2 linked regions of the Saccharomyces cerevisiae S288C genome follow. The protein of the gene in region 1 purifies or fractionates together with the protein of each later gene. This does not show direct contact. Each region holds a gene or a part of one and is shown on either strand. Other genes may lie near its edges.

Region 1 (3,672 bases):
GAGAATAGTCATTTTATTATTCTTGAGCAGTTGATTCCAAAGGGACCTTTTGAACCCTTTTCTAAGCAGATGCTAGCTCATTTCAAGAGAAATGATTCTCCGTTACAGTCTGTATTAAAGTATAATACTATCGAGTCACAGGTTCAACGATTCAATAAGTTAGGTTTCGCTTACGTTAACGTGGGTGATATGTTTCAACTGTGGGAAAGCGCAGATGAGGCAACCAAGAAGGAACTTTTAAAGGTAGAGCCTTTTGATGAACTAGAGGAGTTCCATTTATTTTGTCATCATTATGTTTTATGCCACGCTACGAACTATAAAGAATTCGCATTTACTCAAGGGTTTTTGTTTGACAGATCAATATCTGAGATAAACCTAACTGTGGATGAAGACTATCAGCTTCTAGAATGCGAGTGCCCCATCAATAGAAAATTTGGCGATGTAGATGTCGCTGGAAATGATGTGTTTTACATGGGAGGTAGTAACCCATACAGAGTAAACGAAATATTACAGTTGAGTATACACTACGACAAAATAGACATGAAGAATATTGAAGTAAGCAGCAGCGAGGTTCCTGTAGCAAGAATGTGTCACACTTTTACAACTATTTCTAGAAATAACCAGCTACTGCTTATTGGAGGTAGAAAGGCACCACACCAAGGTCTCTCTGATAATTGGATATTTGATATGAAAACAAGAGAGTGGTCGATGATCAAGAGTTTATCACACACGAGATTCAGACATAGTGCATGTAGCTTACCGGATGGAAACGTCCTGATCCTTGGTGGGGTTACAGAAGGACCTGCCATGCTGCTATACAATGTCACCGAAGAAATCTTCAAAGACGTAACTCCAAAAGATGAATTCTTCCAAAATTCGCTAGTATCAGCGGGTCTAGAATTTGATCCGGTTTCCAAACAAGGCATAATATTGGGTGGTGGATTTATGGATCAAACAACTGTCTCGGACAAGGCAATTATTTTCAAATATGATGCGGAAAATGCTACTGAACCAATTACGGTGATTAAGAAGCTCCAGCACCCCTTATTTCAACGTTATGGATCCCAGATAAAATACATTACTCCAAGAAAGCTATTAATAGTCGGTGGAACAAGTCCTTCCGGGCTATTTGACCGGACCAACTCTATAATCAGCCTTGATCCGCTGAGTGAGACGCTAACATCAATTCCCATATCAAGACGCATATGGGAAGATCACTCACTAATGCTTGCTGGATTTAGTTTGGTGTCCACTTCTATGGGCACCATACATATCATTGGAGGCGGTGCCACTTGCTACGGCTTTGGATCAGTGACTAATGTAGGTCTTAAGCTCATAGCAATCGCGAAATAATGCTCCTATCGGGATTCGAATGGTTGCCAGCTCGCTATGTGACTCACTTAAAGTACATGATGCGTCATTGTGCACTTTTTTACGAAATAATGGCCTTTTTCCGCTCTATTTAAAAGCGTGAAAAAAAAATTGCAACATGAAGAAAATTCGACTCTTAAGTGCAAGTGACTGCGAACATTTTTTTCGTTTGTTAGAATAATTCAAGAATCGCTACCAATCATGTTTAAAAGATATTTATCCAGTACGTCATCAAGAAGATTTACAAGCATTTTAGAGGAAAAGGCCTTTCAAGTGACCACTTACTCTAGACCTGAAGATCTATGTATAACTAGAGGTAAAAATGCAAAGCTGTATGATGACGTGAATGGTAAAGAATATATCGATTTCACCGCAGGTATTGCGGTGACCGCATTAGGCCATGCAAATCCTAAAGTGGCAGAAATTCTGCACCATCAGGCTAACAAACTGGTTCATTCCTCCAACCTTTACTTCACTAAGGAATGTTTGGATTTAAGTGAAAAGATTGTTGAAAAGACCAAGCAATTCGGTGGTCAACACGACGCCTCAAGAGTATTTTTATGTAATTCTGGTACGGAAGCAAATGAAGCTGCTTTGAAGTTTGCAAAGAAACATGGTATAATGAAAAATCCTAGCAAGCAAGGCATTGTTGCATTTGAGAACTCTTTTCATGGCCGTACTATGGGCGCTTTATCTGTCACTTGGAATAGTAAATATAGAACTCCTTTTGGGGATTTGGTTCCCCATGTCTCATTCTTAAATTTGAATGACGAAATGACCAAACTACAAAGTTATATCGAGACCAAAAAGGACGAGATTGCTGGTTTAATTGTCGAGCCCATACAAGGTGAAGGTGGGGTTTTTCCCGTAGAAGTTGAAAAGCTAACCGGATTGAAGAAAATATGTCAAGATAATGATGTGATTGTCATTCATGATGAAATTCAATGCGGTTTGGGCCGTTCAGGTAAACTATGGGCTCATGCTTATTTACCAAGTGAGGCTCATCCGGATATTTTTACATCTGCCAAAGCATTGGGAAATGGCTTCCCCATCGCTGCCACCATCGTCAATGAAAAAGTTAATAATGCTTTGAGAGTTGGTGACCACGGCACCACGTATGGTGGTAATCCGCTGGCCTGTTCTGTAAGCAACTATGTTTTGGATACCATAGCAGACGAAGCTTTTTTGAAACAAGTCTCTAAGAAGAGTGATATCTTACAAAAGCGCTTGCGCGAAATTCAAGCCAAATATCCAAATCAAATAAAGACTATCAGAGGAAAAGGTTTGATGCTTGGTGCTGAGTTCGTCGAACCACCCACCGAGGTCATCAAAAAGGCCAGAGAATTGGGACTTTTGATCATTACCGCTGGTAAGAGTACCGTTAGATTTGTTCCCGCATTAACGATTGAAGACGAACTAATCGAAGAAGGGATGGATGCTTTTGAAAAGGCTATTGAAGCGGTTTACGCTTAAATATACTTTGTAAATTGTCATGTATAGATTGTTTTTTTTTTTTTCATCTTTATATTGTAGTATAAAAAATGCCATTCGGTCAGAGACACATAGGAACATCTTACGTGATATGTACATGTGGTGCGTCTTTCATACCTTGAATGATATAATTAATAAGAGTTGTCCTTTTAACGTCATCCTCTCTTTTTTTTTTTTTTTTTTTTTTTTCTCCTTCATTTTGACTTTTCCTTCTGTGTTAACATGATGAGTTTATACGTGCATCCTAACTAGTAGAATGTATATATATTATATTATGATTATATATATAATTTTGATTAAAATAACAATTATCTTAAGAAAAATTCAGACTATCTTACAAGGTGATTGATGGTTGAGGGTGTCTACCATTGGCACTGGAATGTGGAAAGAATTCCAAATGCCCGTCATCGGTTAATTTTAAAACTTGCTTGAATTTACCACCAATTCTCAATAGTGGTTCTTTGTCTTCAGATTTAGTCCATAAGGCAAACTTGTTACCACCTTTTCTAATGCTTAAAACGACACCGTTAATTTGGGAGTCGTCTTCATCAATTGTTTCACCAATAACTGCTAGTAAAGTTCTTAGCCATAATTCATCAATATCAGCACCTTTTCCTCTAAGTTGGAAAGACCATTTACCACCTTTAGCATTGGCTTCATCTTCCCATTCAGGTCTAACGTCATTACGGAAGACGTGGTAATCTGATTTCAATGGTAGTTCGTGTGGCTCAGGAATATTTTGAATGATAGCCCAAAATTCTTCAACAGTTTGGAATGAAGTGACGGGACGTAATAGATCAGACCACGACT
Region 2 (4,506 bases), on another chromosome or scaffold:
TGATGAGAATGATGTCATCAAAGAACGTAAACAACAGTAACTGTCTATATTCTTGCTTTTTATTATGCGCTGTTACAGCAGGTAGCGGAGTTTTCAGTTCTTTCCCTAGTATGTAGTATGAAGGATAATACGGTAAAAGAACGGGGCTCTTGATTCATCATATAAATTTATTTTCCCCTGTTGAAACCTCGAGTAACCGTCCTCACTGTTTTATTACCAAGGATGAGCTCGAGCAGTTGTAAGAGAGAAGTGGGCAGAAAAGTATAAGTAACAAGAAACGATATACAAGTTCTTGTTGTTAGGCGTAGCAACCCTTTCTCCCCTGGTTTGATCCTACTTAAAATAAAGAAAAAAAACAAAAACGTCATGATGATTTTGATATTATTAGACATACGTAATTTAGTTGAATTAAAGGAATAACAGGCAGCCCTATTAACCACGGACAAAATATCTCTGCATATGATTGCATTATTTGTAAACTATGAATGAACATATGAACGAAAACGATTAATATTAATATTAAAATTTGAAATGGTGCAATGCTGAACATTGCAAGTATGCGAAAATAGTTGATCCTACACTACAAGAGATTATTTTTCTTTAGTGAACATCCTTTTATAAAATGGTCTCGGATCATTTCTAGTAGCGTCTAGGTCATAATCTGTTGTTCTCCTAGATGGTGGGATCCATTTGGTAGACTTCCAAGGTAGCACATTTTCTTCATACATTTCGTTGACTTCTTCTAATGTTAAGCCCTTTGTCTCTGGAACAAAGAAGAACACATAAAAGTATGCGAACACCATACAACCCATAAAGACATAGCCATAATAGAAATTGATTGCTGAAGTAATAAATGGAGTGAAAAAACTGATCAAGAACCCCCAAATCCAGTTACAGGCACTTGCAATCGACATTGCTTTACCACGTACTCTTAAGGGATACGACTCAGAGATAAGGACATAGGCAACGGGGGCCCAAGTGGTAGCGAAACAGAAAATGTAGAAACATGCGAAAACAATCATACAGTTACCAGCACCCTTTGAAGATGGTTGATCTTGACCGTTTGGCCATAATCTGGTAACACCAACAGAGGCATAGACGACATAGCAACAAATCATACCTACACAGCCCCATAACAAACAATTACGACGACCAAAACGATCGACGGTATATAGCGAGAAAAAAGTCGAAACAAAATTAACAACACCCAAAACAATAGCAGTTTCAAATGAATCTTCCAAACCAACAGCCTGGAAAATTGTAGTACCATAGTAAAAGAAGTAATTGTCACCTGTCAGCTGTTGTAAAGATTGAATCATCATACCCATTAGTGTACGTCTGAACATCTGGGGCTTACCAGTAACCAATTCCCCCCAAGAAGCAGAGCCCGCCAATCTCTCAGCTTCAATAGAAGACTGATAGTTCTCCATTTCTAAAGTTACTAAAGGAGAGTCTTCAGTGGTTTTGTTAGCTCTTGCTAAGGACCGCTTGGCCTCTTCAATTTTTCCCACTTCTACCAGATAACGTGGGGATTCAGGAACGAACGTCATACCAACAATCATAAAAATAGACCATGCAAAGCATAAGCCTAATGGTACCCTCCATTGGACAGAGTTTGAGTAATTCTTGGTACCAAAATTAGTACAATATCCCAAAAAGATACCGAAAGTGATCATTAATTGGTAACATGAAACCAGAGTACCACGCAACTGCTTAGGCGACACTTCAGAAATTAGCATAGGCGCCAAAACTGTAATACCACCAACGCCCAGTCCTGAGATGATTCTTCCAATGAAATATTGATACCATTTGTCAATGGAGGCGATTTGGATGATGATCCCAATTGAGTAAATGACGACAACAGTCATCAGACCAATCTTACGTCCATACATATCACCGAGCTTTGACAAAACTATACCTCCGATAGCGCAGCCGATGTTGAAAATAGAAACCATCAAACCGGTTCTGACATCGGAAAGATAGGTAGTCCCGTTTGCACGGGTGCTGCCAAATCGCCTAATGAAGTCTGTTTGCCTGACAAAACCAGATATAGTACCAGTATCCCACCCAAACACGAACCCACCAAAAGCAACCATCAAACAGCAGACGGATACAAATAGTAAATCCGACTTCGATTTCTTCTCTAGTTGTTTGTCAACCTCCTTCTGAAGCTCTTCCAGTTCGTCTTTGGGAGGGCCTTCATGGGAAATGTAACTTGAGACGGGTTTAGCTTGTGCCAAATTATCGTTGTAACCGGCGGTACCAGGAGCAGTCGAGTTTCCTGACTTCTCGTTGTATGAGTTAGAATTTGTGCTCACAGTAGCAGACCCTTCCAAGGGGCCTTGATGAGCGTTTTCAAGTTCCGACATTCTTTCTTTACCTCTAATATATTCTTTTTTCTAGAAAAATAATATTTTTTGCTGGTTTTAACAAAGCTATGAAGTAAAATTGCAAAGTGAAAGCGAATCTTGTTTGCGTATATTATATATAGAAAAATTATTCAATCGACTTTTCTCTTTCTTTTGATAGTTTCTTATTCTTAGAGGGAGAACCGTTCGACTAGCATGAAAAGAAAAGAGAGAGACTCTTTTATACGTGAAATCAAAAAGAAACCAAACTTGAGGTACTCTACTAATGATTCTGGCCCTCCTTTCTTGTTTACTCCGTGCCCCTAAAACTAATTAACCCATGCCCATATATTCATCCACACGACCATTAATATTGAACATAAAGATATCATTTCACCAAGCAGTACTTCACTCAATAACAAGGTGTGAAATCCGGTATATTATTCCATCGCTATGAGTGCGGGATCAGAAAGTGAATTACTTACTGTCCCCTAATGTGCACAGCCACGGGGAATGCGGATCAACTGCAGAGAAAAGGGCGCACAGAGTTAGAATGCATCCCTTAATCCGGGAAGTAACAGTAACACGTCATGCGGATGTTTCTTCGGTGGGTATGGGTCACAATTTCGTCCACCAGTACATCACAGCATGCTCTCATTTCTTTACTTTTTGCTAGCAGATGATTACTTTCATTTCGGGTGGGATGGGCCACCTTTTTAGTTTATCCTCCGGGATGCCTTAAACAAGAAAATGGAACAGTGGGGATAAGACCCATAAAAAATCCGAAGTGATAAGTATTGATTGGTATATTCCCGTATCGGAGACCTTAACATAACATAGTGTAGTGATTTTGCGTATAGAAAAGTAACCAATAAAATAAGGTAAATATTGCTATATGAATGTAATAAATAAAATAATATATGGGCGCAACAAAAAGAACGCAAGAAAGAAGCATTGATCAGTGCTTTTTACTAGTTTTCAAGCTTTTCACCCTCCTTAATAGCTTGTTGCCGGTGTTTTCCTTTTTAACAACATCTTCGTGACCGCTTCCTTGGGTGGCAGTGACCGGAACAGAAGTTCTATTATCGTCTACGTCCTTTTGCTCCAAGTGTCCACTATGTGTTTTCACTAGCTTTAAATTGTTGTTGTTCACTTGTAGATGTCTTCTTGAGGGGAGAGACTTTTTTCTTGCTATGCTGTTTTTCCTACGAGATTCTTGTGCGTGGTTGATAACATCTTGCTCTATGGCAGCGGAAGACGCTGGTGCGCCATCCAGGAACGTCGTTGAGCCTAGACCCATCGTAATGGGCCCATGGACTAGTTCAGTTTTCATTTTGGAATCGAACTGGGTAATATTTTTTGAATTCGGTTTAATCGCATCCAAAGTCGTAGTACTGGAATTGGCCTTATTGAATAAATATGCTCTATCTTGTAGTTGGTTCAGCGTCTCAGAATCGTCGTCTACTGTTTCCCTACCAAACACCTCATCTAAGGTAGACTTCTTACTTGTGCGGCCGCCTACTGTATTATTTGGACCATCTGCTGGGAAGGCCAGTACAGGCGCCACTTTATTATTCTTATTTCTCTGTGGAGTGCATGCATCAAAGGGGCCGTCATGATGGAAAGATCCGCCAAATAATCCTGTAACATCCATCTTGTCAATAGTGTCTACATTTTTAGGGGGCTTAACCTTGGTTCTGCTTTTGCTCTTCTGCTTATCTTTGTCCCTATGTCCGTGTGATGTACGACGATGGTGGTGGTGGTTGTGTTGGTGACTATTTGAACCACTACTGCGTTTCTTTTCTTTTGGGTATGGAGCTTGCTGTTTCGGTGTCCCCGCAGCTTCTTCATATGATGGGAGTCTTTCTTGTCTAGAATTGGAAACGCTACTGTTATGGGCCCTCCTAGTGTCATCTTCATTTAAAAATGGGTTACTGCAATAATTATGGATTATCTCAATCGATTTTGAAAGGAGAAAAAGAGTTAAGTTAGTATTCTGAAGTAGTCATGACTGTTAGTTACACTGTAGTGCAATTTTGGGAGTGGAGCTACACATACTTATAATTCCTGGGCGTTTCATCCCTGCTTGATACTCTGTCCTCTGAAGGAGAAACTCTGAAGGGGTTAATCACTGTATTCACGCCATTTTGAGGACCGC

Evidence for each region.
Region 2: the proteins of ARG8 (region 1) and HXT5 purify together in Saccharomyces cerevisiae (affinity purification with mass spectrometry, with the first as the bait; one large-scale study listed by BioGRID). This does not show direct contact.

Annotation. Positions count from the first base shown.
Region 1 is NC_001147.6:57,187-60,858, forward strand, and holds ARG8 (acetylornithine transaminase), read left to right. Parts: upstream 1-1,572; coding exon 1,573-2,844; downstream 2,845-3,672. Other genes in the region: tRNA methyltransferase PPM2, read left to right, coding at 1-1,353; CDC33 (translation initiation factor eIF4E), read right to left, coding at 3,197-3,672. UniProt on the Saccharomyces cerevisiae protein: catalyzes the conversion of N-acetylglutamate-gamma-semialdehyde (NAGSA) to N-acetylornithine in arginine biosynthesis.
Region 2 is NC_001140.6:294,079-298,584, forward strand, and holds HXT5 (hexose transporter HXT5), read right to left. Parts: upstream 2,370-4,506; coding exon 591-2,369; downstream 1-590. Other genes in the region: PAL2 (Pal2p), read right to left, coding at 3,307-4,282, 4,407-4,506.